Lonchura striata: one gene and its partner. Each later gene encodes a partner of the first gene's protein in a complex. Links are inferred from orthologs where the notes say so. Each region holds a gene or a part of one and is shown on either strand. Other genes may lie near its edges.

Region 1 (15,176 bases):
TCAATCAAATCACCTTTTACAGAATAACAGTGAAGTCATTTTAGAATCAGGAACTAGTCAGATTTTAGTTTCAGTACATAAAGAGATTTTTTTTTCTTAATTTTAAATAAACTTTCAAGTCCTCAGACTCAGAAACATTCCTTGGTCTCCCATGCTTTTGAAAGAGTCTTCTGCCTTCCCATTGAAGAAGCTAGGGGCTTAATACTTGCTCTGATATTAGTGCTCTTTCTTCACCTCTTTCATCTGACATCAGACAACATATCTAGTTAGTCACACGTATAGAAATATTGCTCTGACTGAACAATGAAGTCCCAGCTATTAATAACAGAGAGAAAGATGAGGTTTAATAACTTTTTCCTTCCCTTTCCCTTTCCCTTTCCCTTTCCCTTTCCTTTCCTTTCCTTTCCTTTCCTTTCCTTTCCTTTCCTTTCCTTTCCTTTCCTTTCCTTTCCTTTCCTTTCCTTTCCTTTCCTTTCCCTTTCCCTTTCCCTTTCCCTTTCCCTTTCCCTTTCCCTTTCCCTTTCCCTTTCCCTTTCCCTTTCCCTTTCCCTTTCCCTTTCCCTTTCCCTTTCCCTTTCCCTTTCCCTTTCCCTTTCCCTTTCCCTTTCCCTTTCCCTTTCCCTTTCCCTTTCCCTTTCCCTTTCCCTTTCCCTTTCCCTTTCCCTTTCCCTTTCCCTTTCCCTTTTCTTCTATCTGGTTTAGTCAACTTTAACTACTCTCTATTTTTTACAACCAACTCAACAGCAGTTTAAAGAAAAGGATGTGGCTTTTAAATAACTCATTTCACAACAGTACTGTTACAAAGTATTACCGTAACAAATGCAATAATGCTTTGAAATGTCTGTCTTCCAAGATAGTGAGCCTTTATGTTCAGAGTACAATCACAGTCATCTTATAAATGTGTCTCATAGAATAATGGACCCCACAGTAATGTAGGCAAACAGCACTACAGGCAAGTACCTTTAAGTCCAGGTCAATAAATGGTTGGAATACTGCTGACAAGCCACTTAAGGAATAGTCTACTTCAACCAAATCATCAATCTGCTTTGCAGCTGTAAGGGTGGTAGATAAGACACAGAACATTACAAAAACCACAGAAATAATTGTATGTATGCTTAAAACTAAGTCAGTTTCTGAAAGAGAATGTCACAAATTATTCCAGAGAGTAGGGGAAAACACAACCAGGGACCTCCTAATATGCATTCTGACCTAAGATTTGATATTTCTATTGAGACTTTCTGTAAAGCACCTTCTCTAATTTGTCTATTGTTTTTTCATTGTGGAAAGTAAGTTTGGTCTAACCCAAAAAAGGAGATGGCCATGTCATTGCCTCAGGGCATAAGGAGGTGTTGGGATTTCTTGTCAATAGTTTTACGAGCATCCCAAGTACCTGTAACTTGCAAGTACAGGAGGGTGCCTGATCTGCTTAAATACCTGTGTTTTGCATAAGGTATCTGACCAGCACTTGGGGTGTCTTAAATGCCTGCAAATCTAACCCAAAGTGGTTCAAGTGAGAAGGTTTTTGCAAAGGAGCTTTTTCATTTTGTCTCTGGCAAGTCTGATAAATAGGCAAGTAAAACTTAATTTCCAGGCAGGCTAGGAGAACAGGCTTCAGCTTGTAAAGTGCTGTGTGTGCAGGAAGACTTTGAGCATGGTACGGGAAAACTGCCTCAGCATCAGCACTGTGTGGCCTCAAAGTGGCATTTCTCACAACAGAAGGGCACACTGCCACATTTGCAAGTTGAGAATTGCTACCAAGTCCTTGGCTCTCAGAAACACATATTTTTTGCTCAAATAGCCCAGCCTTTATTTAACTGTGGTTCTGTATGCAAGGGAGCAGATGGAGCAGAGGGATTCATATCACTCATGGAGAAATTGCTAAGCAGCTAATGTTAAGGAAGCGGCAGAATTCCACTGATCGGAAGAGAGAAAACAGAAGGAAAAGGTACCACTAATGACTCACCATTCAGTGATCAGAGGTCTCCATCTATCAACTGGATCCAAGCTCTGCTGTTGGGACATGACTACAATAAAAGCACTCTCAAGTTATGGCCTGATTAGTGTGGCTGTATAAGCACCTCTTCCATGTCAGATCTTTCTGCTGCACGACTCACATTGCAGCATTTGTTTATCAAAACACCTAATCTGTCTTCTCTTCAGCTAACTGGATCCCCAGTGTTTCTGCTTGGTGCAGTGTAAGCATGTTGTATTCACAGCTGCAAAAAAAAGGAGGGAAGTTTCCAGAGGCAGCCTGGTGGGGGTGACAAAACCACAGCCTTTAATAGTGCAAGGACAAATATTATACTGGTCTCAGAATCGTGGAGTCATTTAGGTTGGAAAAGACCCTTAAGATCTATCCCTGGACAGAATGACAGCCATCTCAAGCTCTGTTTCCTCTCAGTGGCCCTGGGAGGCTGTCACCAGAACTACTGACCCCTTTGCCACAATGAAGCTGAAATGTCATACTATCAGTTGATATACTATAATTTCTCTCTGTGTCGCTCAGTAGATGTTTTTTCTGCCTAGCATAAAAATGACCCAAGCCCCAGGATGCTTGTATGTACACAGGCAGGGATTTATTCTGCATTGGAATGGAAAAATAACAGCATTTTCCATCCCTACTGCTGCCTTGACTGAATGTATCTGTGTCAGTATCTTGACTATGAACCTGTCACTTTTTCTGGAATCATTTCTTCCTGGAAAAATGATGACTGTGCTGATCAGACCAGAATAGGACTATTACAGGATTATTTTTCTAATTCTTCCTTTGCCACGTTCACAGCACTGACTTGTGAATGCTGTCCTCCTTACACCCCTCCCCTACACAATGTGAAAGGCTTACATTAGTGACCAAGCCCCTGTGAATGGGTTTCTTCAGATACTTGATAAAGAAGTTATCCAGGAAGTTAGAGGGAAGGAAGAAGGCAATTAATGGGTCAAGTACTATGGTCATTAAGAGGAGATCAGATATTTCTGCAGAACATGAATTTAATGGCCTCTTAGTATTATATTCTAGTACACATGGGAGCTTTTTGAAATGTAAAAACTGTCAGAGAGCCACCATTTAAAAAATTATAATTTCAACACTATGTATCTCAGCCTGGGTTAATTAATATTTATGGAAAATGGATTTCTTCATAGGACCACCATCTTATATGTACAAAATAGTCTCTGCATGAGTAACTTCCAAAACAAGTAAAAACTAACAAAAATTTGTTTGATGCCAAAACTTTGGTTCCTTTTGGGAAAAGAAATGAAATCTTGTGAAACAGAAAAGAAAGTCTCCTAAGTCTCCTAAAGACTCTGGAAAGGAGATATGATCAAGTGAAATGCGATTGAGAAAATAAAAAAGGAAAATTGGGAAATGCAGTGACCACAAGAAAATGGTCTGGGAGCAAATGATGTGCAGTGGAAAGGAGCAAAATATGCCAAAACTAATCTCAGAGATGCTGCAAGATCAGGGGGAAAATCAAGGAGGAAGAGAGAACACTGAGGGGAAAATATGAGTGAAATGGTATAGATACTGAAAAAAAAAAAAAAAAATCTTCACCAAAGTGAAATCCATCCAAAGGCATGGGATGCCATGAAGTGCAGGGCCATGGACCAAAGCTGCCAAACTGATCCCCATTGAAATCACAAGATTTTGTTTCCTTTCCTGAAAGGTAGAGGTGAGCAGGCTTCAGCAGGGTGAACCCTTGTGCATCACCAGAGTGTAACAGGGAAAGACAGATGAAAGGTAGGATCACCCCCACTCTGGAGACAGCCTGAGAGAACAGGGTTTTTTTTAGTCTGGAGAAGAACAGGCTCCAGGAAGACCTTAGAGCGCCTTCCAGGTCCTAAAGGCGGCAACCAGAAAGCTGGAGATGGAATTTTTACAGGGTTTGTAGTGATAAGACAAACAGGAATGTATCTTCAGATTGACAGAGGGGAGGTTCAGATTAAACATTAAGTAGGAATTCTTCACTGTAAGGATGGTGACGCTCTGGAACCGGTTTCCCAGAGAAGCTGTGGGTGTCTCATCCCTGAAGTGTTCAAGGCCAGGTTGGATGAGCCTTTGGGCACTCTATTCTAGTGAAAGGTGCCCCTGCCCATGATAGGGGAGCTGGAACAAGATGATATTTAGGGTCTCTTCCAACACAAACCATTCTATAATACTATCAGATTTTAATAATGAATTTCAGTTTTTATGTTTGGAAAGAGGCTGAGGACAACCCCTTTTTCTGGGGGAGGTTTGGACCTGGTGACCACCTAGTGTGCCCACCACAACTATTTGATTCCAGTGATTTGTCACAGCACTTCAAATCCATTTTCTAAGCTTGATTAGCAGCAGCATGTTTTATTTTGTGTAGAATGTGATACACAAGCACCATCTAGAGGTTATAAAGGAGATGATGAAGACTATAGCTGACTACAGCAATAGCTGACAGCTGTATTATAGGAGGAAAAAAAATTTAAGGTTCCCCATGACTCAAATACTGCTGCTGAAGTGGCATTAACCCTTAGGGTTAATAGTTATAACAATTATTCTCACTTTTGTTGCCTCTGGGATTTGCATATTTTTGCCTGGCTCTTCTTGCTTTCCTTTCCCTCTCCCCATTTCGTGATGATAGCGAGAGGATGAAGGGGAATAAAGAAGAACCAATTAAACCAGAAAAATGCATCACCTGAATTTCAAAGAAGAGACTGAAAATTCCATGCAGTCAGGACTGTTCTTTAAATGGGGAAATCTTTAGAAGAAAATAACTGCTGATTACCCAGCAGCTTCAGGTATGTTTCTGATATAGAGCATTAGAGAGAAATAAGAGGACTCTCTTGTACTGCATCACTTGGCTGATGAGGATTAAACCTGCTTCACTGTACTTACTGTAGGCCCTGCAGCATAAAAACAAATCATTTTCATTCAGAGAGCTTGTTTTCTCATATTCTATATGTATGGGTTCCTATCCACCCTATTACTGTGACAATGGAGTGACTATCAATAGGAACACCATTGGGAGCTATGAAAGTTCCTAAATGTTTGTCTCTAAGATTATTGTTTTAAAGGTTGCAATTTTTAATCTGAGTGTTTGGGGAGGGAAGGGTTGCCACAAGAAGCCTGGCAGTTTCCCTATTGGGAAACACATCTAAAATTAGCTCTGATACTGCTTGGTTGTTTTATAAAAGCCATGAAATTGTTGGTGCCTGAGGAGGAGAAAGATGACATCCTGCAGAAGTAATGCCTGAGTAATTCATGAGTTGGGCTGATCCAGAATGATGGTTCAGCACTGGGAAGGAAGCTGGGAAGGATAGCTGGATTTTGCAGGATGACCCAGGTCTTTCTGACACCTCACACTGAACTGGCCAGGGCTGGAGCCAGCTTGTAATGTTGGGGAAAGCTCAGTACCTCTCCAGATCCCAGCTTCAGACAGGAAAGCAATTCCCTTCCTCTTGAAATACTACTACTGCTACTGCAAGCTTCTTCCCCTGGGAAACCACCCTCATCCTAATGAGGAGGGGGCAGTTCCTGGGAAGGAGAACAGGAGCCCAGAAGGTGCACGGGTCCTTTCCTCCCTTCCTGAGCTGTTAGTCATTTGTTCCCCAGTATCCATGTACAGAGAAAGGACAGAGGAGCAAGAGAGAGGAGGGATGATGCAAAGCAAAGCAGCTCTGGGTTACTCACAATTGCTGAGTGTGGGCACAGTGAAAGAGAAGCCTATCCTGCCTGAAACTCCATGCTGTGAATGGCAGCTGGATGCTCCTTATCAGGAGCTAGAATGAGCTGCTGCAGCAAAAGCTGAAATCACTCACTTGCAAAATGTGAGTTGGTGACTTCTTTGAAGAGCTACAGGTGTACAGGGAGATTAAGAAGAAATCTGATTTCTTTTTCTTTCTGATATTGCCTGGTTTGAGGGAGACAAAAGTGGGTAACTATTGATGGAACTGCTATTTTTACTTAAGAGTATTACACTGCTCTCACAGTCAAGTGGAAATCACCTCTTTCTCTAAAAAAAAAAAAAAAAAAAAAAATGGGTGCATTGTGTGAGTATGTAGAAAATGAAGAAATTGGCTGGTGTAGTGCTCAAAAGAACTTCCTTCCCTCAAACTGTGGACTCCCATCCACATCTGCTGCTGTGCTGGAAGTAGAAGCAGGTGAATTACCTGGCTGCAGAGGACTTGGTGGGCAGGGGCTATTCAGATGGCTGCTGGGACAGCCAACTTCCCAGATAACAAGAGAAATTCTGTATTACACCAGTATATCCTTATCCTGTCATTAAACCACATGGGACAGCATGGTCCTTATATGTTTGGGACCATCTAACAAGCCTGGCTGGCAAATATACATCTTTCCATCATTGCCCAGGTCCCTCTCCCCCTGCTTAATTGAATCATTGCTGGTTCAGTCTCTTTCTGGCTTTGTTCCCTTCTGTTCATGTCATTTACTGTTTGTCTCAGTCTTAACCCTCATTTCACCACAGATACTCTAAGAAAACTCTGGCAGCTCTGACTGAGCAGAGCAGCCAGGTAAGAGTCTTGCACACACTTGGTTTTGATTGCTGTCCAGCAGAGGTTCTCAGCCGCCAGCAGATTCCACTGTGGTAGAGATAGCTAAGAAAAGCAATTATATGTCAAATTTTCAACCCAGCTCAAACTTCTGCATCTGCTGGAAAATAGCTAGAGCAGAAGTGTTCACAAACCAAAACTGTGAGTGGAAACCATTGCTTTGAACTGACTCTGGTTTCCTGTAACCCTGACTCTCGTAAAACCAGAGAAATCTGACCTGTGGCAGCTGTACAGACTCAAGGCACTGCATGGAGCCAAAGAAACACTTTTTGAGTAGCTCTATGGCTCCCAGATCCCTCACATTAGGATGCAACACAGCCGATTAAACTCCAGGTGGTGAGGTGCTGTTGTCTCCTGGTCCAGGAGATGGCCTTGCCTGTGAGATAACTCAGCAGTGCTTAACAAATCTAAACAGCTGAGCAAAACCATCCTCCAATGCCACTCTGTGTCCTCCTCGAGCTTCAGCACAGCCATGCTGGAGACCTATGCTAGGCTAAAAGCACACCCTCAATTGAGTGCATGTAACATTACTGGTTCTGCTTCCAGCTTTCCATGTGTGATTGATTTCCCATATACTGCTAGAAATTCCAATATTCTCTTTATAAAGAGAGCCTTTCTGACTCATAGGGGACAGGAGGCATCTTCAAAGAACAGTGAAGCTGGACTGTGCCTTCCAGGTTTGGACAACTGGGCTGTCCTCTTGCGTGGCCATGATCTACACAGACATGTGCTGCTCAGACCATTAGTGACTAACTTCAAATAGATTTTGGGGGCTTCCTCTGCTACACTGGGAACGGAATGGGCAATGCTTAGCTCTTTTTCCTGTTTAATGACAATGGCTTCTCATGAACTGTGCAAGTAGGACCTGTTCTGAGCTTAGGAAGAGGAATAATAAATGATGAAAGTGCAAAACTAGCAAGCAAACGGACAGTGATACACAATGGTTTGGAGAATCATGCACCAGCAATGAAGGAAAACTCCCCACCACACCTCAGCAAATGGTACTGCCAGTAATTTTAGGTTGTTTAAGCATCTTCAAGAAATAATGTTCATTTTAGTCAGATAGGATGGCTCCAAAGCACTGTTTCATGCATCCAGGACTTGGAAAACTCTGCAGAAAGAGGTGCCACTGTGGGCGGTGGGTGCAGCATGAAGGGCTCCCGGCCTCTGTGTGCTGCCCAGGGAACACTGCCTGGCACCAGCACATCCTGAGTCAGACTTAAAATATGAAACAAATGGTTTGAATTCTCCCTCAGAGAGTTGCTGTTCTATGCGGGTGCCAGCAGCAGCATTTCAGCCATTCTTGGCAGCCAACTCACTGCAAAAACAGAGACTCTCTCTCCCCCCACACCACAGATAGGTGTTTCGGGAAGCTTGGGGGGAACCTCACTGTTTGTGGTTTGGGCTGTGCCGGGAGTGCAGGTGGGTCCACACCAGCAGTGGCAAAACATGTGCTGTGGTGACCACCAGCAAATCAGGCTCTAAGTGATCTCTGTTACTTGCGATGTTCAAAGTTGTAACAAGGTGACAACACAGGTACAGACATACCATAGTGGGATTCGAGACACATATTTTCCCTTCCTTTTTGTTTGTCTGTTTGTTGTTGTTTTTTTTTTGGGGGGGGGGGTGTTTTGTTTTTTTTTATTTTTTTTCCCTAAACTTAGAAAATTTATTGGGGGGGGGGTTGTTTTGTTTTTTTATTTTTTTCCCTAAACTTAGAGAATTTATATGGATAGTTCTGGCTTTTACACGGAAAATACCAGCTTTCTTGAATTGATGCGTACATGTGGCAATAGGATCACCAGCAGGTGTGAAGCTGTTGAGGCGCCCAGTGAGGCAGCGATGCTCCTGCACGGGGCAGCGAGCTGGAGGCACGGGAGGGGAAGCTGCTCGGACCGCGGCTGCCGGCACAGAGCCACTCGAGCCAAGGCGGGGGTGCGGCGGGGCTGAGCAGCGGCGTGGCACCGGGCGGAGCGGAGGGCTGACGGGCGGGGCTGGACGCGCCGTGCCGGGCCGGGCCGTTCTGTGCCGGGCCGGGCGGGGCGGCGATGGCGGGGATGGCGGAGGCGCTGGCGAAGGAGCGGGCGGCGGCGGCGGGCGCGGGGCGGCACGGCCGCGCTGTGCCCTACCTGGGGCAGCGCTTCGGGACCCTGCGCCAGGAGTGCCTGCAGGAGGGGCGGCTCTTCCAGGACCCCTCCTTCCCCGCCGGCCCCACCGCCCTCGGCTACCGGGAGCTGGGGCCCCGCTCGCACAAGACACAGGGCGTCGTCTGGCGCAGACCCACGGTAGGGCGGCGGGGGATGGGGGGGCTCCCCGGTAGCATCGTTCTGCAGTATCACCCGGCTTCCTCCTTCCCTCGCTCCGTGAATTTGGGTGGATTGGATGGTGCGGGGGCGGCGGGTCGGGGCGCGGCTGCCGAGCGCGGTGCGAGCCCTCCCGTCCTGCAGCATCGCGCCCGTCTGGTGCAGCTGCGGATGCTCGGGGCACCGGAGGATCCCCTTTGCTCTGGCGACAGCCTGGCAGCGTGACTTGCTCTGCCTGGAAAACAAGTCAGAAAAGTCATTTTCCTCTCCATCCAGAACTCTCCGTGTGGACAAACCGCTTTGGGTAGCGCTTGGGGCTGTCTTTTCTGATAACTCTTTCCTTCAGCAGAGCCGTGAGTTGACCACCGTGTGGTTTATTCCCGAAGCAGCCCTGCCAGCCATGGGAGCCATGGGATCAGGAGGACTCCAGGGTGCCTCCAGGCACTTCTGAAGGACCTTGGTGTAGTCAGTGGTGGGGAGGTAATGGCAGAGCAGCGTGTGCACATGTGTGGAAATGCAGTGCACCTCCTGGCACGTCCTGTGAAGTGAGCTGGCCGCACACGAGCTTTGGTCACCAGCTCCCGTTCTCACTGTGCTTGGTGTGTGTGGTGCCCGCACCCGCTCCTGCCCTGCTCCATCTCTGTGGTGTTCATCTCCCGTGGTCAATGGTTTGGTTAATTTGCTGCAAGTGTGGCCTTGTTCCCTGCCTCACCTGTGGCTACGTGTAATGCAAGGCCTGTTTTGTTCCCAGGAGCTGTTTCCCAACCCCCAGTTCATAGCCGGCGGAGCCACTCGCACGGACATCTGCCAAGGGGCCCTAGGTAAGGTGGGGGCAGAAACCTGAGTTTTCCATGCAGGTGCTGCCCCAGGGCAACATGGTTTACGCATGGCTGTAACTCACTCTAATACCTCCTTTTGCATCCTACCACCTCCATTCATTTCAAATCAGACCTTTCTCATGTTTCCTTGGCATTTGCAGGTGGGGACCATGAGTGTGGTTACTGAGCACAGTCTTTCTGCATGCACCAAGCAGGGGTGGGACACACTGGTTTCCTGATGGTTTTTCTGATCATATCCTGTTCCTTTCACATTCAAATCCATATGCCTGAGAGTAGCCTGACTCATTTCTGCCTTTAACAGTCTGCTTGGAAGAGCAGTTGTGTGTGTAGCATGACTTCTCTTTCCCCAGTGGGAGAGAATTCTGCTGGGCAGGAGGAATCTCCTGAAATCTGGGGAGATGCTGTAGATAGAAAAGTTGTATGGGGGTCACCGGCTCTTGAGGAAGACAAAACTTGGGTGTTTCAGGAGGAATGGGCCAGCCTGTGATTTGTTACGTGAGGAGGAGACACCTGCATCCAAACAGCAGCTGGGAGATCCAGTGCTGTTTACACCCCAGTGTTGTGATACCATGGTGACATCCACTCCAGAAAAAGGTGGCTAAGGGTGAACCAGGCTTCTCTGGCTTTGGAACCTCCCCTCAGCTGTAATGAGTCACTACATCCCATGTGCTGCCATTTGGAGCCAAATACCATCACTGACTTTGCAGATCTGATACTGCAAAACCAACTCCAAATACTCTCCTTCAAAAGCTTCTCCTAAGGAAAAAACAACAGACCAAAAACAACAGACCAAAACCAAAAAACTTCACAAGGCCAGAATAAAGGATAATCCAAATCCCAAGGGGAAGAATTTGGTGCCTGGAAAACCTTTTCTGCACTGATGATCAGCTTTGCCTTACATGGATCACAGTTTCTTATAGTCCAGGTGAAACACAATTAAACAAATTTATGCACCTGGCCAAAGATTACTGAGCTGAAAGAAACCCTGCTCATTAGCTGAACTGTTTGGTTACACATTTCCTGCCAAGAAGCTGCCCTGCAGATGTGATGAGTCCATGTGCTCTGGATGCCCCATCTCTCCCTGCAGTACTCCCAGATGATCTGAAGGGCTCAGCAACAGCAGTGAAACTCCCCATGGGCACAGGTCTGTTGCTTCTTGATCAAGCCTTTGAGGGATTAGACTGCAAAAGCTTCCTATAGAAAAGAAGCAGTATAATAAAAAGCACAGGTTTCCAAAAGCACCTGATATCTTCCAATGAAATCTTCTCTATAACATCCTAAAATGTGATGGGACATGGACACTAAAAGTAAATACAAAGATCAAGTAAATGCAAGCTTAGGCAAATTTATCAATACAAATGCTAGTGTCAGATAAGGCAGTTGAAAAAAAAAAAAGAATTTGTACAGTGCATTTGCCAGCCCCATTGTGTGAAAGAACAGAGATTCCATCCAGGCTCTTAGGAACTCAGTGGCTATACAGAGAAAAGATCAAAAGCATCTAATTTTTAATCAACAGTTGTCACACAAGACCAAAATCCTGCCCAGATTCATGAGAAGACAGCCAGGAGAGTCACTGCAGTACTTAGAGACAGTGAAAGAGGAAATATAAACAAGAACACTGACAACCTCTGATTCAGATATACTCAGGAGGTACAAAAATACCAGCTGTGAGTCACTTCATATCCTCTGGTGATACCATACAACCCCATGGGAACATCTGACTGGTCCAAAGACCACTAGGGCAGCAAATGCTTTCATCAATTTAAAAACAGTGTCTGGTATTAGCAACAGCAATTTCACAACTTGAAAACGAAGCTTCAAATCTTTCATTCCTATGCTCTTGCTGCCACAGCATCTGCAGAGAAAAGCTAGAAAACCAGAAAGCATCTAAGTGATTCCAGAAACCAGCATCTCTACAGAAATGCCAGATGTTGACATGGCATTACAGTAAACTTTAATTTCAATCTGAAGAACTTTTTACCAGAAAGCTTCACAATTAAAAGAGATAACAGATGTCTGGTACATGTGTTTAAGCACTGGGACATGCTTCATGCCAAAACAGTCATGACAGGAGACGTGGTATTGGATGGAGAGAGCACAGGAAGGAAGCTGGTGACATGGTAACAACCCAAGGCACAACAGAGTCTAACCCACACCACCAAAGATATCGGGGCAGGAGGAGAACTGAGTTCATAATCTAAGTAGTTTTACTGTCATGGATTTTTTATACAAATTGCATCTGGTTGTCAAAGCACTAACTTAAAAAACATCTGAATGAAAACATAGGCATAAAATATAAGTTTCTCTGCCTGTTACATTTTTGGACATGAACCTACAAATAGCGGCAGTGGGACTAAAAACTAAGAAGATGTAATGTGATGAATATCTGAAAGCAAACAAACAGAATTTGGTTCCTTTGCCAAGTGCAGCAGCACAACACAGCTCATATTAGTCATGTTTCCCACATGAGACTTTCCCTCAAACACATTATCTGTCTAATCCAAACCCCTCTCACTCACTACAGCTGTGGAGTAGGAGCCTACTGCTTTCACTTCACTTTACTTCTCCTCATATCTCTGGGACATCCTCCACCTAAACTCCTTCTGTCAAGCAAGACAAGAGAGAGGCTTCCAGACTGTGCACTCACAACTAGGCTAAGCCATTTGATCCCCACTGTCCCCTGGCACATCCCTGCAGCTCCCAGATCTTCCCCGGAGAGCCCCGCCAAGGAGTTGCCATTGCACAAACTGAGCAGAAGCCTTGGCAAAAGCAGAGGGCTCACAGGCTGGCCCATTGTAAAAAAATAACAAATTGAATAGGTTGAATTTGAAAATCAGACCCTTGGTTTCCTCATGCTGACAGCCACTCTACTGCCAGTGGGTTGCCACAGCCTCATGTTTGTAACCAGAAAACATTCTGGAGTGCTGTGGTATTAATATAAATACATTCAGTAGCTGTTCATCTAAGAGTGTTTTAAAATAATGATGAGTCTGTGATTGGCAGAATGTACATTTTTCCTTTTACCCCATACTCTTGCATGAGCTGTGCAGTGTCCAGAGGAGCTGCCTTTTGCTTACACGCCTTCAGGCATTTTGATGGGTGTATTTTGTTTGCCTTTTCTTTCCAGAATGGCTAATTTTAAGCTCTTACAGCTATTTATGCTTACCTTGCAATTACTTTTTTTTTTCCTAGTGTTCTTGTTACCGCTGGAGATTAGGTAAATGCAGGCATGGGTATATGGAAATAACAAGTAAAACACTGAAAGCAGGAAAAAGTAAGCATGATAGGACAAAAAAATAGTACTTCTTGTTAATATGTGTTATTGATAAACTCACAGCCTGAGAATACTCCCTTTTCTGATAACCTTGTCCTGCCCACTGTTCATTTACAAAAATTATTTATGATAAATGTAGCCTTGCTAACACTCCTTTCAGGCTCTAAACAACTGTCTGTCAGCCTCTCCTTGGGCTTTCCTTCCCTATCAGAGGAAAATCACTGTCAAGAACCTTGCAGAAGCACCAGTTCTGGATGTTCAGGCTATTTGGTAAAGACCTTGCTCAAGCTTGCTTAGTGGTAAGATTCCAGGTATAATCATTAGATCTGTTCTCATCTGGAGTCTGGATTATCAGGTGTGCTTTTTGTGAACAGTGATGGCTGTTCACAAAGGTAGAGATTATATCCTGGCTGTTGGGCACTTTTAAGTGTGGAAACCAAAGGTTGTCTTCCATATATGCTGCAGCTGCCTTTAAACCTCAAGACCTTGCCCAGAGCTGTCAGAGTTAAGATTTGTGTTTTACTTCAAATTCTTGTTAGAAGCCAGTATAAAGTTCAACAGAGATTTTACAACATGCTGTAATTTCAGTCTGCCTTGATGAGACAGCTAGAAAGCAAAGGAAATTCTTTATAAATTCTCCTTGTGGGTGTGGTGGTCCTCTGAAGGGTGTTTCTCCTTGAATTTCCATGCTTCTTACCTCCAGAGGAAGCATGACTCAAAGATGTGTTGCAGCATTGAAGTGTATGTTCATCATCTGGAGGCCTGATCAGCTTCTTGACCAAGCCTTCCTGAGCTGCTGTGGCCATTTGAGTGGTCCATTTGTTCTTCCTGTGCTGCTCCCTGCCTGCCCAGCCCCTGCCCTGGGTATGGAATAAAATACTAATTTTTCTTGAGAAGAATGGTGTGACAGCTGCCCTCTGAGCCAGACTCTTTCCTCCTGGCCTTGTCTTTCTCAGCAAACACCTTTGCAGTACATAGTGCTACCTCTGCATGCAGCTCCCAGGGAAGAGGTTCTCAGCTCCTTGGAGGAGGCTGTGAGAGGAGTCACCACTTTGCAGGGCAAAGTGGATGTGCTGTGACAGAATAGGGAGGGGAATTGCATCATTGCTTCGTAGTCTGTCGCAGGAGAATAGCAAGGTGACTTTCTTGTTTAGAAACTTGTCTGACATGCTGATTTTTCCATTGCAGTACAAGCAGACAGAGGCGGGGCTGAAGGGGAAGTTTTATGCTCGGTTCTTCCCCTCCAGGTTGTGAAGCAGTATAAGCATTTTAGGTTTTGAAATTACTCTGCAATTTCACCTCTTCCACCTTTCCTGAGGTGTGAGAAGATGTGTGGGACAGATGTATTTCTCAGAGCTGACCTGGGAGGCAGCTGTGCCAAGCGAGGGCAGCCTGGAGGGAGCTGCAGGTTGTCCATGTTCCTGCTGGTGTTGTGTGAGCACTGATGGATTTGGGCCTGAGGGTGGACCTCGAGGACTGCTTTAGGGTTCATTCACCCTGAGACTTTGTCCCATTTGGATCCCCTCTTCTCACCCATAAGCTTTTGAGCCTTTTTCTAGGGGAGAGAGGTAGGGACTGCTGCTTTGCTGGCCTCTAGCTTGCTGACAGCAAGGTGGTGGCAGGTTCACACATTGAAGCTGCAGTCCTGCAGGGCTGTTTTGTGGGATCTCATGTACAATACCAGCTGCCCTCTGTTCACAAAGCAAGGGAACAGCGGATCTGGGGATGGTAACAAGGAGGTTTGTGTTGGGCTGTGGCAGTCAGAGCATCATCTGGCTCTGGAAATCTCTGACCACCTCACTAATGGGCTGCAGGAGGCTCATGGCTGAGCAGAAAGGTGACTGTTCTGCTAAAGTAAAACTGTGCTCTGAAAAGAATTACAGAAAGTAGAGGTGTAATGTTTATAGAGCTGGGGTCTCTTCCTCTCTCTGTGTGGCAGGAGATGGTGTGGAAAAACACTGTCCAGGCAGCCTGTGCTGTGCAGGGCTAGTGTTTGTTGGCTCCATCCCAGGCAGGATGAGGAGGTGTGTGGGACTGGGAAACAGTGTCTGCCTTCAGGTTTTTCCTGGCTCTCTAGTGACTGTGCTGGAGGCCAGACATGGGACTAAACAGAGAGGCCTCGAGCAAGAGCCTCCAGAGATGTGAAAGGAGCTCCTGTTTGCAGGGAAGCTGGCAAGAGACCTTAAAGGAAACTTGCCTGCAGGACAGGTCTCTGGATAG
Region 2 (14,608 bases), on another chromosome or scaffold:
AATGTCCCAAATCCCCCCAATGTCCCAAAATGTCCCCAATGTCCCCCCAATGTCCCCCCAATGTCCCCCCAGTGTCCCCAATGTCCCCAATCCCCCCAATGTCCCAAATCCCCCCAGTGTCCCCAATCCCCCCAATGTCCCCAAATGTCCCCAATGTCCCCGATGTCCCCAGTTTCCCCAATGTCCCAAATCCCCCCAATGTCCCAAAATGTCCCCAGTGTCCCCCCCAATGTCCCCGCTGTCCCCAGGGTACTGGTTTGGGGTGGAGCTGGACTCGGCGGGCGGCAAACACGACGGCTCCGTTTTCGGGGTGCGCTACTTCACCTGCCCCCCCAAACACGGCGTCTTCGCACCCCCCTCCCGCGTCCAGAGGTGCGGGGGGACACGGGGGGGACACGGGGGGACATGGGGGGACATGGGGGGACATGTAGGGACACGGGGGGGACACGGGGGGACACGGGAGGGACACGGGAGGGACATGGGGGGACACGGGGGGACACGGGAGGGACATGGGGGGACATGGGGCGACACGGGGGAACATGGGGGAGAAGTGGGGACACGGGGGGGACACGGGGGGACACGGGGGGACACGGGTGGGACATGGGGGGGACACGGGGGGACACGGGTGGGACATGGGGGGGACACGGGGGGACACGGGGGGGACATGGGGGGACACGGGAGGGACATGGGGGGACACGGGGAGGACAGGGGGGGACACGGGAGGGACACGGGGGGACATGGGGGGGACATGTGGGGACACGGGAAGGACAGGGGGGGACACTGGGGGGACAGGGGGACATGGGGGGACACGGGGGGGACACGGGGGGGACATGGGGGGACATGGGGGGACGTGGGGACACGGGAAGGACATGGGGGGACATGGAGGGGACAGTGGGGGACACCGGGGTGGGACAGTGGGGTCCAGGGAGGTGACGGGGGACACGGGAAGGTCACCAGGGGTCACTGGGATGTGGGGGTGGGGAGGGACACGGGGCCAGGGGTCATCGGGAGGTCACACAGGGGTCACCGAGGGGTCGCAGGGGTCGCCGAGGGGACACGGGGGTCACCCCCTGTCCCCGTGTCACCCCCAGGGTCGGGGGGCCCAAGGAGGAGCCCGGGGACGGCGGCGCCGAAAAGAAGGGACAGCCCGTCACAGGTGAGGGGCGGGGCCACGCGATGAGTGACGGGTGGGGGAAAGTGATTGACAGGTGGGTGGGGCAGTGATTGACAGGTGGGCGGGGAAGTGATTGACATGTGGGCGGGGAAGTGATTGACATGTGGGCGGGGCAGTGATTGACAGGTAGGCGGGGCAGTGATTGACATGTGGACAGGGCAGTGATTGACAGGTGGGTGTGGCAGTGATTGACAGGTGGGCGGGGCAGTGATTGACGGGTGGGTGTGGCAGTGATTGACAGGTGGGTGGGGCAGTGATTGACAGGTGGGCGGGCAGTGATTGACAGGTGGGCGGGGAAGTGATTGACATGTGGGCGGGGCAGTGATTGACAGGTGGGTGTGGCAGTGATTGACAGGTGGGCGGGGCAGTGATTGACAGGTGGGTGTAGCAGTGATTGACAGGTGGGCGGGGCAGTGATTGACAGGTGGGTGTAGCAGTGATTGACAGGTCGTGTGGCAGAGATTGACAGGTGGGCGTGGCAGTGATTGACAGGTGAATGTGACAATGATTGGCGGGTGGGTGTGACCATGACAGGTGGGCGGGGCAGGGCAGTGATTGACAGGTGGGCGGGCAGTGATTGACAGGTGGGCGGGGCAGGGTTGGCACTGCTGATTGGCTGTTGCGGGTGATGTGACCATGTCCCTGTGTCCCCCATGTCCCCCCGTGTCCCCCATGTCCCCCCATGTCCCCATGTCCCCCCATGTCCCCCTGTGTCCCCGTGTCCCTATGTCCCACATGTCCCCCCGTGTCCCCATGTCCCCCTATGTCCCCCCGTGTCCCCCATGTCCCCCCGTGTCCCCGTGTCCCCATGTCCCCGTGTCCCCCCATGTCCCCCCGTGTCCCCGTGTCCCCATGTCCCCGTGTCCCCCCATGTCCCCCATGTCCCCATGTCCCCCCATGTCCCCCATGTCCCCCCATGTCCCCATGTCCCCATGTCCCCCATGTCCCCGTGTCCCCCGTGTCCCCGTGTCCCCATGTCCCCATGTCCCCCCTGTGTCCCCGTGTCCCCATGTCACCCCATGTCCCCCCATGTCCCCCGTGTCCCTGTGTCCCCATGTCCCCGTGTCCCCCCATGTCCCCCCATGTCCCCATGTCCCCCCATGTCCCCCATGTCCCCCCATGTCCCCCGTGTCCCTGTGTCCCCGTGTCCCCATGTCCCCCATGTCCCCCCATGTCCCCCATGTCCCCCCATGTCCCCGTGTCCCCATGTCCCCCGTGTCCCCCCATGTCCCCCATGTCCCCTGTGTCCCCCGTGTCCCCCATGTCCCCCATGTCCCCTGTGTCCCCCGTGTCCCCCATGTCCCCCGTGTCCCCGTGTCCCCGCAGTGTCACAGCCCAAACGCTTCCCGGCCGTGCGGACCCCCAAGGACATCACATCCGAGAGCTCCTTCTCCAGGTGGGGACAGGGACAGGTCCACCGCCGGGTGGCTTTGTCCCCGGGGTGTGGCTTTGTCCCCACGCTGTCCCCAGAGGTGGCCCTGTCCCCATGAGGTGTCCCTGGGGGTGGACCTGTCCTTGCTGGGGCGTCCCCAGGGGTGTCCTCAGCGATGTCCCCATGTCCCCAGGGATGTCCCCATGTCCCCATGGGTGTCCCCATGGGTATCCCCAGGGATATCCCCATGTCCCCGTGTCCCCGTGTCCCCAGGGATGTCCCAGGGGTGTCCCCATGTCCCCGTGTCCCCAGGGACGTCCCTGGGACGTCCCCATGTCCCCATGGGTGTCCCCAGGGTTGTCCCCAGGGATGTCCCAGGGATGTCCCCATGTCCCGGTGTCCCCATGGGTGTCCCCAGGGGTGTCCCCATGGGTGTCCCCAGGGATGTCCCCATGTCCGCGTGTCCCCATGTCCCCAGGGATGTCCCCATGTCCCCAGGGTTGTCCCCAGGGATGTCCCAGGGATGTCCCCCTGTCCCCGTGTCCCCATGGGTGTCCCCATGGGTGTCCCCATGGATGTCCCCATGTCCCCATGTCCTCAGGGGTGTCCCCAGGGATGTCCCCGTGTCCCCAGGGGTGTCCCCAGGGATGTCCCCATGTCCCCATGGGTGTCCCCATGGGTGTCCCCAGGGGTGTCCCCGTGTCCCCGTGTCCCCATGGGTGTCCCCAGGGGTGTCCCAGGGGTGTCCCCATGTCCCCATGGGTGTCCCCAGGGGTGTCCCAGGGGTGTCCCCATGGGTGTCCCCACGTCCCCGTGTCCCCGTGTCCCCAGGGATGTCCCCATGTCCCCAGGGGTGTCCCCAGGGATGTCCCCATGTCCCCATGGGTGTCCCAGGGGTGTCCCCATGGGTGTCCCCACCTCCCCATGGGTGTCCCAGGGGTGTCCCCATGGGTGTCCCCAGGGATGTCCCCCTGTCCCCGTGTCCCCATGGGTGTCCCAGGGGTGTCCCCAGGGATGTCCCCATGTCCCCATGGGTGTCCCCAGGGATGTCCCCAGGGATGTCCCCCTGTCCCCGTGTCCCCATGGGTGTCCCCATGGGTGTCCCCATGTCCCCATGGGTGTCCCCATGGGTGTCCCCATGTCCCCATGGGTGTCCCAGGGGTGTCCCAGGGGTGTCCCCAGGGGTGTCCCCATGTCCCCATGTCCCCATGGGTGTCCCCATGGGTGTCCCCGTGTCCCCAGGCTGCTGTTCTGCTGCTGGTTCCCGTGGATGCTCCGGGCGGAGATGCAATCCTAACCCCCCCCGCCCCTCCCCCCCCCACCGCCCCTCCCCCACCCAGTGCCTTGGAGCCCCTCCCCCACCCGCCCCATCCCCCCCCGTCCCCCCCTGTCCCCTCCCCCTCCTCCCGGGCTGTTCCTTCTGGAACATTCCGCACTGGGGGAGGGGCGTTGGGCGTGGCCCCTCCCCCAAATTTGGGCCCAAACCTGCCAATAACAGCGATGGGGGAGGGGCCAGACCCCCCAAAACCCCAAATTTGGGCCCAAACCTGCCAATAAGAGCGATGGGGGTGGGGCCAGACCCCCCAAAACCCCAAATTTGGGCCCAAACCTGCCAATAAGAGCGATGGGGGTGGGGCCAGACCCCCCAAAACCCAAAATTTGGGCCCAAACCTGCCAATAACAGCGATGGGGTGGGGCCAGACCCCCCAAAACCCAAAATTTGGGCCCAAACCTGCCAATAACAGCGATGGGGGAGGGGCCAGACCCCCCAAAACCCCCCAGACCCCCCAAAACCCCAAATTTGGGCCCAAACCTGCCAATAACAGCGATGGGGGAGGGGCCAGACCCCCCAAAACCCCCCAGACCCCCCAAACCCCCAAATTTGGGCCCAAACCTGCCAATAACAGCGATGGGGGAGGGGCCAGACCCCCCAAAACCCCCCAGACCCCCCAAACCCCCAAATTTGGGCCCAAACCTGCCAATAACAGCGATGGGGGAGGGGCCAGACCCCCCAAAACCCCAAATTCGGGGGTCTTCACTCTGGAATCTATCAATTAAATAATTAATTAAGGGGGTTGAGGCCACGCCCCTTCCCGGGCCATTTTGGGGGTCCCAAATCCCAATTTTTGGGCTGTTCACTCCGGAATTTATCGATTATTTTTTTGGGGGGGGGATCCATGCCACGCCCACCACTCCCCAAATTTTTTTTGGTGAATCCACCCCCCCCCCCCAGTAAAATAATTAGGGCTGTTCTCTCCGGAATTAATGAATGAATGAATTAATTAACGTCGGGAATTGATGCCACGCCCCTTTCCCGGATAATATTTTGGGGATATCGATCAAAAAATATCAAAATTTTGATTTTTTTTTTTTTTTAGAATTTATTTATTTATTTTCTCCCCCCCTCCCGACCCCTCCCCAAAACCAGGGCCCGAGGTGGGGGAGGGGTCCCAGAGGGTCCCTCCTGGCCGCCCCTCCCCCACCCCCGCAGGAGCAATAACGCCCCTCCCCCACCCCCGCTCGTGTCAGTGGCTTTAATGTCCCCAAAAATGTCCCCAAAAATGTCCCCTCCCCCCAAAAAATGTCCCCTCCCCTCCCCCGCTGCCGCATGGGCCCCCCCGGAGCCGCTTCTGCCACCAATAAAATCCTTTGTACCGGAAAATTGGGGGAAATTCGGGGGGAAATGGGAAAATTGGGAGAAAATGGAAAAATTGGGGGAAATAATGGGAAAAAATTGGGAGAAAATGGCAAAATTTGGGGGGGGGGGAATGGAAAATAAATGGGGAAATGGGGAAATTTTGGGGGGAAATGGGGAAATTTTGGGGGGAATGGAAAAAAATGGGGAAATGGGGAAATTTTGGAAGGAATGGAAAAAATGGGGAAATGGGGAAATTTTGGGGGGAATGGAAAAAATGGGGAAATTGGGAAATTTTGGGGGGAAATGGGGAAATTTTGGGGGAAAATGGACACAAATGGGGAAATTTTGGGGGGAATGGAAAAAATGGGGAAATTGGGAAATTTTAGGGGGAAAATGGACAAAAATGGGGAAATTTTTTTGCGGAAATGGACACAAATGGGGAAATGGGGAAATTTTAAGGAGAAATGGAAAAAAACTGGGGAAATAGGGATATTTTGGGGAGAAAATGGACAAAAATGGGGAAATTTTGGGGGGGAAATGGACACAAATGGGGAAATGGGGAAATTTTGGGGAGAAATGGAAAAAAATGGGGAAATAGGGAAATTTTGGGGGGAATGGAAAAAATGGGGAAATTGGGAAATTTTGGGGGGAAATGGGGAAATTTTGGTGGAAATTGGACACAAATGGGGAAATTTTGGGGGGAATGGAAAAAATGGGGAAATGGGGAAATTTTGGGGGGAAAATGGACAAAAATGGGGAAATTTTGGGGGGAAATGGACACAAATGGGGAACTGGGGAAAGTTTGGGGGGAAATGGAAAAAAATGGGGAAATAGGGAAATTTTGGGGGGAATGGAAAAAATGGGGAAATTGGGAAATTTTGGGGGGAAATTTTGGGAAATTTTGGGGGGAAATTTTGGGAAATTTTGGGGGAAAATGGAAACAAATGGGGAAATTTTGGGGGAAATGGAAAAAATGGGGAAATTTTGGGGGGAAAATGGACAAAAATGGGGAAATTTTGGGGGGGAAATGGACACAAATGGGGAAATGGGGAAAGTTTGGGGAGAAATGGAAAAAAATGGGGAAATAGGGAAATTTTGGGGGGAATGGAAAAAAATGGGGAAATTGGGAAATCTTGGGGGGAAATGGGGAAATTTTGGGGGAAAATGGAAAAATTGGGGAAATTTTGGGGGAAAACGGAAAAATGGGGGGAAATTGGGAAAATAATGGGGGAAATTGTGGGGGGGAATTTGGAAAATAATGGGAGGAATAGGGAAAAATGGGGGAAATTGGGGAAATGGAGAAAAAAATTGGGAAAATGTGGGGGAAATGTGGAAAAATTGTGGGAAAAATGGGGAAAATGTGAGGAAAATTGGGGAAATTGGGGGGGAAAGGGTGAAAATGGGGGGAAATGGGGGAATTGGGGGGGAAATGGGTAAATAATGGGGGAAATGGGAAAAATGGGGGAATTTGTGGGGAAGTGCAGAAAATGGGAAGAAATGGGGATAATAATGGGGGAAATGGGGAAAAAATGGGAAAATAATGAGGGAAATTGGGGGAAAATTGGGGAAATGGAGGGAAATGGGGAAATAAATTGGGAAATTTGGGAGGGAAATGGGGGAAATGTGTGAAAATGGGGGGAAACAGGAGAAATGGGAGGAAAGGGGGAAAAATTAGGAAAAGAAAGGAGGAAAGTGGGGGAAAAATGGGGGAAAATGGGGGAAATGGAGAAAAAAATTGGGAATTGTGGGGGGGAAATGGGGGAAATAGGAGGGAAAATGGGGAAATGGGGGAAAAAGGGATTTTTTGGGGGAAAAATTTGGGATGGGGCGACACGGAGGGACCCTAAAACTGCTGAAGGACATGGGGGGAGGGGGAGACTTCAGAGTGGGGGAGGGGACCCCCCAAATTTGGGGGGAATTTTGGGGGGGGGGGGGGGGAACCCCAAAAAGTGGATGGGGGAGGACAAAATTGGGGGAGACCCCAAAAGTGAGGTGGGGGTGGGGGAGGGAACCCCCCAAAAAATTCCTCCCCCAAAAAATTCCTCCCCCAAAAAATTCCTCCCCCAAAAAATTCCTCCCCAAAAAAATTCCTCCCCCAAAAAATTCCCCCCCCAGCGCCGCCATCTTGTCCCGGCGCGCGGCGGTGACGTCACGCCGTGACTCATTTGGTATTCACCGTTAATCTGCATAACCCCGCCCTGTGGGGCGGGCCCGACTGTCAATCACGCGTCTGGCCACGCCCACTCTGATGGGCGCTAAGGGGCGTTGCTGTCAATCAAGGAGTTAGCCACGCCCCCCATGTTAACCCCGCCTATTAGAGGAGATATGAACGTCTAGGCCACGCCCCCGCCCCTGGCCACGCCCAGGGCGCGCCCCCATTGGTCCCTCCCACCGAGGCCACGCCCCCGGGCGGCTCCCCGGCCACGCCCCCCCCGCGTGGCCCCGCCCCTTTCCCCGTTCCGGTTCCGCGCTCGCTCCGGACCGGCGCCGCTCCCGCAGGTACCGAACCCCCCCCACCCCCCCGGGACCCCCCCGGGACCCCTCGGGACCCCCCGGGACCCTCCCGGTGCTCTCCTCCCCCCCCCCCCAAACCGTGACTCAGCGCGGCCCCGCCCAGTCCCGGAAAGCCGCGCCCGGGAGCGGCACCGGAGCGGGACCGGAGCCCGGGGAGGGGTCCCGGGGGGTCCCGGGAGGGTCTGGGGGGTCCCCGGAACCCCCCCGGTACCCCGGGTGTCGCCTAACGGTGCTGTCTGCTTCTCTTCCAGCCGCTCCCAGTGCTCCCAGTGCCGCCCCGGTGCCCCCCCAGTAACTCCCGGTGCCCCCCAGTAACTCCCGGTGCCCCCCAGTAACTCCCGGTGCCCCCCAGTACCCCCCAGTACCTCCCAGTGCCCCCCAGTACCTCCCAGTAGCTCCCAGTGCCCTCCCAGTACCTCCCAGTAGCTCCCAGTGCCCTCCCAGTACCTCCCAGTAGCTCCCAGTGCCCTCCCAGTAGCTCCCAGTGCCTCCCAGTGCCTCCCAGTACCTCCCAGTGCCCTCCCAGTAGCTCCCAGTGCCCCCCAGCGCTCTCCCAGTGCCCCCCAGCGCTCTCCCAGTACCCCCCAGTACCTCCCAGTACCCCCCAGTAGCTCCCAGTGCCCTCCCAGTACCTCCCAGTAGCTCCCAGTGCCCCCCAGTACCTCCCAGTAGCTCCCAGTGCCCCCCAGTACCTCCCAGTGCCTCCCAGTAACTCCCAGTGCCCTCCCAGTACCCCCCAGTAGCTCCCAGTACCCCCCAGTAGCTCCCAGTGCCCTCCCAGTACCTCCCAGTAGCTCCCAGTGCCCCCCAGTACCTCCCAGTGCCTCCCAGTAACTCCCAGTGCCCTCCCAGTAGCTCCCAGTGCCCCCCAGTACCTCCCAGTGCCTCCCAGTAGCTCCCAGTCCGGCATGTTCCTGGTGAAGGGGCTGCTGGGGGGCGGGGGCGGTGGGGGGGGGTCCGGGGGGGCCTCCCGGGGGGCATCGGCTCCGTCCTGGGGGGGCTCCTGAGCGGGGGGGCGGCGGCGGCGCCGGGGGGGCCATGGGGGTCCTGGGGGGCGTCATCAGCGCCATCAGGTGAGGGGACAGCGGGGGACACGGGGGCTGGGGACACTGGGGGGGCTGGGGACATTGGGGACACTGGGAGGATTGGGGACACTGGGGACATTGGGGGGGCTGGGGACATTGGGGGGACATTGGGGACACTGGGGGTATTGGGGACACTGGGGGGACATTGGGGACATTGGGGTGGGGGTCCTGGGGGGCGTCATCAGCGCCATCAGGTGAGGGGACAGCGGGGGACACGGGGGTTGGGGACATTGGGGGGGCTGGGGACATTGGGGGGATTGGGGACACTGGGGGGACATTGGGGGGACATTGGGTTGGGGGTCCTGGGGGGCGTCATCAGTGCCATCAGGTGAGGGGACAGCGGGGGACACGGGGGCTGGGGACATTGGGGACACTGGGAGGATTGGGGACACTGGGGACATTGGGGGCGTTGGGGACACTGGGGGGACATTGGGGGGACATTGGGTTGGGGGTCCTGGGGGGCGTCATCAGTGCCATCAGGTGAGGGGACAGCGGGGGACACGGGGGCTGGGGACATTGGGGGGACATTGGGGGGACATTGGGGGGACATTGGGGGGATTGAGGACACTGGGGGGGCATTGGGGACATTTGAGGACATTGGGGGGATTGGGGACACTGGGGGGACATTGGGGACATGGGGGGCATTGGGGACATTTGAGGACATTGGGGACACTGGGGGGGTTGGAGGGATTGGGGACATTGGGGGGGACACTGACGGCTACTGGGGGTTGGGGACATTGGGGGGACATTTTGGGGTGGCAGGTGACACTTTTGGGGGGGCAGGTGACATTTTGGGGTGACCCCCTCTGCCCACCCCCCCACAGCGAAGCCGCCGCCCACTACAACCCCGAGCCCCCCGTAAGTGACCCCCGCCCCCTCCCTCCCTGGGGACCCTCGGGGTGTCCCCTGACTCCCCCACCCCGGATTTGGGGTCCCCTGACCCCCCACCCCGGATTTGGGGTCCCCTGACCCCCCCACCCCGGATTTGGGGTCCCCTGTCCCACTCACCCCGGATTTGGGGTCCCCTGACCCCCCCAACCCCGGATTTGGGGTCCCCTGACCCCCCCGACCCCGGATTTGGGGTCCCCTGTCCCCCCCCACCCCGGATTTGGGGTCCCCTGTCTCCCTTCCGTGTCCCCCTCCCAGATTTGGGGTCCTCTATCCCCCCCCCGGGTTTGGGGTCCAGGCTTTGGGGTTCCCTGACCCCGTTTTTGGGGTTCCCTGACCCCGTTTTTGGGGTTCCCTGACCCCAGATTTGGGGTGCCCTGCCCCCCGTTTTCGGGGTGCCCTGACGCCGTTTTTGGGGTGCCCTGACCCCCCGTTTCCGGGGTGTCCTGACCCCGTTTTTGGGGTGCCCTGACCCCGTTTCCGGGGTGCCCTGACCCCATTTTTGGGGTGCCCTGACCCCCATTTTTGGGGTGCCCTGACCCCGTTTCCGGGGTGCCCTGACCCCATTTTTGGGGTGCCCTGACCCCCATTTTTGGGGTGCCCTGACCCCGTTTCCGGGGTGCCCTGACCCCCATTTTTGGGGTTCCCTGACCCCGTTTCCGGGGTGCCCTGACCCCATTTTTGGGGTTCCCTGACCCCGTTTTCGGGTTGCCCTGACCCCTTTTTCGGGGTGCCCTGAGCCCGTTTTCGGGGTGCCCTGACCCCGTTTTTGGGGTTCCCTGACCCCGTTTTCGGGGTGCCCTGACCCCCCGTTTTCGGGGTGCCCTGACCCCCCGTTTTCGGGGTGCCCTGACCCCGTTTTCGGGGTGCCCGCAGCCCCCCCGTGCCCACATCTCCACGGTCGATGCCAACGAGAGCGAGGAGGTTCGGCAGTTCCGGCGCCTCTTCACGCAGCTGGCGGGGGAGGTGAGGGACCCCCGGGACCCCCGGGACCCCCGACCCCCGACCTCCAGCACCCCCAACCCCCGGGAGCCCCGACCCCGGGACCCCCGGGACCCCCAACCCTTGGGACCCCGGGACCCCCAGAATCCCCAGGACCCCCGACCCCAGAGACCCCCGGGAGCCCCGACCCCTGGAACCCCGGGACCGCCAACCCCCTGGACCCCCAACCCTTGGGACCCCGGGACCCCCGACCCCGGGACCCCTGGGACCCCCGACCCTGGGACCCCCGACCCTGGGACCCCCGACCCTGGGACGCCTGACCCTGGGACCCCCGGGACCCCCGACCCTGGGACCCACAGGACCCCCGGGACCCCCGACCTCCAGCACCCCCAACCCCTGGGACCCCCGACCCCTGGGACCCCTGACCCCTGGGACCCCCGACCCCGAGACCCCTGGGACCCCCAACCCCTGACCTCCAACACCCCCGACCCCAGGACCCCCAAACCCCGGGACCCCCGACCCCTGGGACCCCTGGGACACCCGACCCCCGACCTCCAGCACCCCCAACCCCCGGGACCCCCGGGACCCCCAGATCCGTGGGGGTGCACTGGGGTGTACTGGGGTACACTGGGATCCACCTGATCCCTTGAAACCTCTTGGTTGGGGTCAGAATCTGGGGGAACCCCCAAGGTTTGGGGGTCCCCCAAGATTCGGGGTCAGGATTTGGGGGTACCCCCAGGATTCGGGGTCAGGATTTGGGGGTCCCCAGACTTTGCGGAGACGGGTCAGGATTTGGGGTCAGGATTTTGGGGTTTTTGGAGGTCAGGATTTGGGAGTCTTCAGACTTTAAGGGGATCAGGGTCTGGGGGTTCCCCCAGGATTCGGGGTCAGGATTTTGGGGGTTCCCCCAAGAATTCGAGGGTTCCCCCAGGCTTTCGGGGGCTCCCCCAGGATTTCGGGGGTTCCCCCAAGATTTTGGGGCTCCGCAGCCCCCCCTGACCCCCCGTTCCCCCCAGGACATGGAGGTGAGCCCCACCGAGCTGATGAACATCCTCAACAGGGTCGTCACCCGCCGTGAGTGCCCCCCAAAAACCCCCGGGGGCTTGGGGGGGGATTTTGGGGTGCCCTCGGGGCTCGGGGGGGATTTTGGGGTGCCCTCGGGGCTCCCTGCTGGGCTCTGGGACTCGGGGCCCCCCCAAAATCCCCCGTGGTCCCCCCAGATCCCGACCTGAAGACCGACGGCTTCGGGCTGGACACGTGCCGGAGCATGGTGGCCGTCATGGACGTACCCCGGGATTTTGGGGGGATTTTGGGGGATTTTGGGGGGATTTTGGGGGGATTTGGGGGATCCTCCAGAGGTTTTGGGGTGCGGGGAAATGGGGGGGGTCCCCGGTGCCCCCCAAAATGTCCTTGACGAGCCCCCCCAGAGCGACACCACCGGGAAATTGGGGTTTGAGGAGTTCAAGTACCTCTGGAACAACATCAAGAAGTGGCAGGTGAGGACCCCAAAATTTTTTTGGGGAGGTCCCGAAATCGGGGTGGGGGGACCCCAAAAATATGGGGTGGGAGGCCGAAGTTGGACGGGATCCCAAAATTGGGGTGCTCAGGGTGAAAAGAGACCCCGAAATGGAGGGAGAAGGCAAAATTTGGGGGGATCCTAAAATAAACGAGCCCCAAAATCGAGGAAAATCCAAAATTGGGGGGGGGCCACCCCAAAAATGGGGATGGGGGCCCCAAAACTGGGGTGGGCATCCCAAAATCCAGGGTTACTCCAAGCTGGGGGAGATCCCAAAATTAGGAGGAGACCCAAAAATTAGGGGGACACCCCAAAAAATGTGACCCCCCCCAAAAAAAAAAATAGATGTGGGAGCCCAGAATCAGGGACACCCCAAAATCGAGGGAGGAACCCAAAAAACCGGGGGGTGGGACCCCAAAATTTCCCCTCTTAAATCCCAGCCCCCCTAAAAACCATGAGGGGGGGTTGTAGGGGACCCCCCAAACACCCCAAAATTTTGGGGGGGGGTGGGGTAATTAGGTAATTAGGGGGGGCAGGCACCCCTAAAATTTGGAACTGAGGATTTTTTAAGTTCTTTAAAGGGGGATGGGGGGAGGATTTTTGGGGTTTGGGAGGGGCGGGGGGAGGAATTTTGGGGTTTGGGAAGGTCCCCGAGTTTTGGGGAGGGGGTGAGGCGGATTTTGGGGGTGCGGGACCCCCCAAAATTGGTGCCCAAAATTTGTACACCCCCAGTGCGTGTACAAACAATTCGACAGCGATCGCTCGGGCACCATCGGGCCCCAGGAGCTGCCGGGGGCCTTCGAGGCCGCAGGTTGGGGATTTTTGGGGGGATTTTGGGGGATTTTGGGTTTTTTTGGGGGGAAGGAATTTGGGGGGGCTGGCGGGAAGAGGTTTCGGGGTGCAGGAAATGGAAATGGGGGAGTTTTGGGGGGTTTTTTAGGGGTGAGGGTTGGAATTAATGAGGGGTGGCAGCAAAATCATCAGGGATTGCCAAAATCCAGCCCCCCGGGGGTGACCCCAAATTCCTCTGGGAACCCCAAAATTTCCCCTGGGGTGACCCCAAATTCCTCTGGGATCCCCAAAATTTCCCCGGGTGACCCCAAATTCCCCTGGGATCCCCAAAATTTCCCCGGGTGACCCCAAATTCCTCTGGGAACCCCAGAATTCCCCCAGGGTGACCCCAAATTCCCCTGGGAACCCCAAAATTCACCCAGGGTGACCCTAAATTCCTCTGGGACTCCCAATGTCATCCTTGGAACCCCAAAATTCCCCTGGGAACCCCAAAATTCACCCAGGGTGACCCCAAATTCCTCTGGGAACCCAAAATTCCCCCAGGGTGACCCTAAATTCCCCTGGGACCCCCAAAGTCATCCTTGGAACCCCAAAATTCCCCTGGGAACCCCAAAAATTCCCCCAGGGTGACCCCAAATTCCCCTGGGAACCCCAAAAATTCCCCTGGGGTGACCCCAAATTCCCCTGGGACTCCCAAAGTCATCCTTGGAACCCCAAAATTCTCCTGGGGAACCCCAAAAATTCCCCTGGGGTGACCCCAAAATTCCTCTGGGAACCCCAAAATTTCCCCCTGGGGTGACCCCAAATTCCCCTGGGACTCCCAAAGTCATCCTTGGAACCCCAAAATTCTCCTGGGAACCCCAAAAATTCCCCCAGGGTGACCCCAAATTCCCCTGGGACTCCCAATGTCATCCTTGGAACCCCAAAATTCTCCTGGGAACCCCAAAAATCCCCCTGGGGTGACCCCAAATTCCTCTGGGATCCCCAAAATCCCCCTGGGGTGACCCCAAATTCCCCATGGGACCCCCAAAATCCCCCTGGAATTACCCCAAACCCTCCAGGAACCCCAAAATCCCCCAAGATTTTGGGTTTTGGGGAGTCCAGGCTGGTTTTTTTTTGGGGGGGGGGGTCAGGGATATTTTGGGGGGAAGATTTGGGGCGGTTTGAAGGATTTGGGGTCGGGTCGCGATTATTTGGGGTGGAAACGGGGATATTTGGGGGGCAGTTTTTGGGGGGAATTGGGGAATTTTTGGGGGGTTTGAAGGCATTTTTTTGGGGGTCAAAGGTCACCTGTGGCCATCCCACCCCCCCCCCCCAGGGTTCCGGCTGCCCCCCCAACTTTGGGCGGTTTTGGGGCGTCGCTACGGGGACGAGGGGGGGAACCTGGACTTCGACAACTTCATCAGCTGCCTCGTGCGCCTGGACGCCATGTTCCGTAGGGAGACCCCGGAATTGGGGGAAAATCCCGAAATTGGGGCGAAATCCAAAAATCGGGGGGGAAAAATTCCAAAATTGGGGGGAAATCACAAAACTGGGGGGAAATAACAAAATTGGGGGGAAATCCAAAAATCGGGGGGAAATCCAAAAATCGGGGGGGGAAAAATTCAAAATTAGGGGGAAATCCAAAAATCGGGGGGGAAAAATTCCAAAATTGGGGGAAATCCAAAAATCGGGGGTGGGGGGGAAA

What was found.
Region 2: the proteins of calpain-2 catalytic subunit (region 1) and CAPNS1 are in contact, whole or in part, in a crystal structure (PDB 1KFU), measured with the Homo sapiens proteins. The link is inferred for Lonchura striata from reciprocal best matches to the Homo sapiens genes CAPN2 and CAPNS1. Residues at the interface, in NP_001739.3 of Homo sapiens: Ala2, Gly3, Ile4, Ala5, Lys7, Leu8, Ala9, Arg12, Glu13, Glu16, Phe60, Arg366, Arg416, Arg417, Arg418, Arg420, Asp494, Ile516, Phe551, Glu575, Lys578, Val581, Asp582, Asp585, Gly588, Ser589, Gly590, Gln641, Leu642, Gln644; in NP_001003962.1 of Homo sapiens: Thr85, His86, Ser88, Asp111, Asp112, Met113, Glu114, Ser116, Thr118, Asp142, Arg145, Ser146, Ala149, Val150, Met151, Asp152, Ser153, Asp154, Thr155, Thr156, Gly157, Gly160, Phe161, Glu163, Asn206, His208, Leu209, Met212, Ile213, Arg215.

The regions. Positions count from the first base shown.
Region 1 is NC_134607.1:21,346,711-21,361,886, forward strand, and holds the start of calpain-2 catalytic subunit, read left to right. Parts: upstream 1-8,588; coding exon 8,589-8,825; intron 8,826-9,594; coding exon 9,595-9,664; intron 9,665-15,176. UniProt on the Homo sapiens protein: Calcium-regulated non-lysosomal thiol-protease which catalyzes limited proteolysis of substrates involved in cytoskeletal remodeling and signal transduction. Proteolytically cleaves MYOC at 'Arg-226'.
Region 2 is NW_027461156.1:27,090-41,697, forward strand, and holds the start of CAPNS1 (calpain small subunit 1), read left to right. Parts: upstream 1-8,723; 5' UTR 8,724-8,736; coding exon 8,737-8,771; intron 8,772-9,607; coding exon 9,608-9,641; intron 9,642-10,547; coding exon 10,548-10,637; intron 10,638-11,629; coding exon 11,630-11,687; intron 11,688-11,833; coding exon 11,834-11,898; intron 11,899-12,040; coding exon 12,041-12,109; intron 12,110-12,861; coding exon 12,862-12,940; intron 12,941-14,239; coding exon 14,240-14,356; intron 14,357-14,608. Other genes in the region: CLIP3 (CAP-Gly domain-containing linker protein 3), read left to right, coding at 249-372, 1,092-1,156, 2,501-2,570, 3,789-3,843. UniProt on the Homo sapiens protein: Regulatory subunit of the calcium-regulated non-lysosomal thiol-protease which catalyzes limited proteolysis of substrates involved in cytoskeletal remodeling and signal transduction. Essential for embryonic development.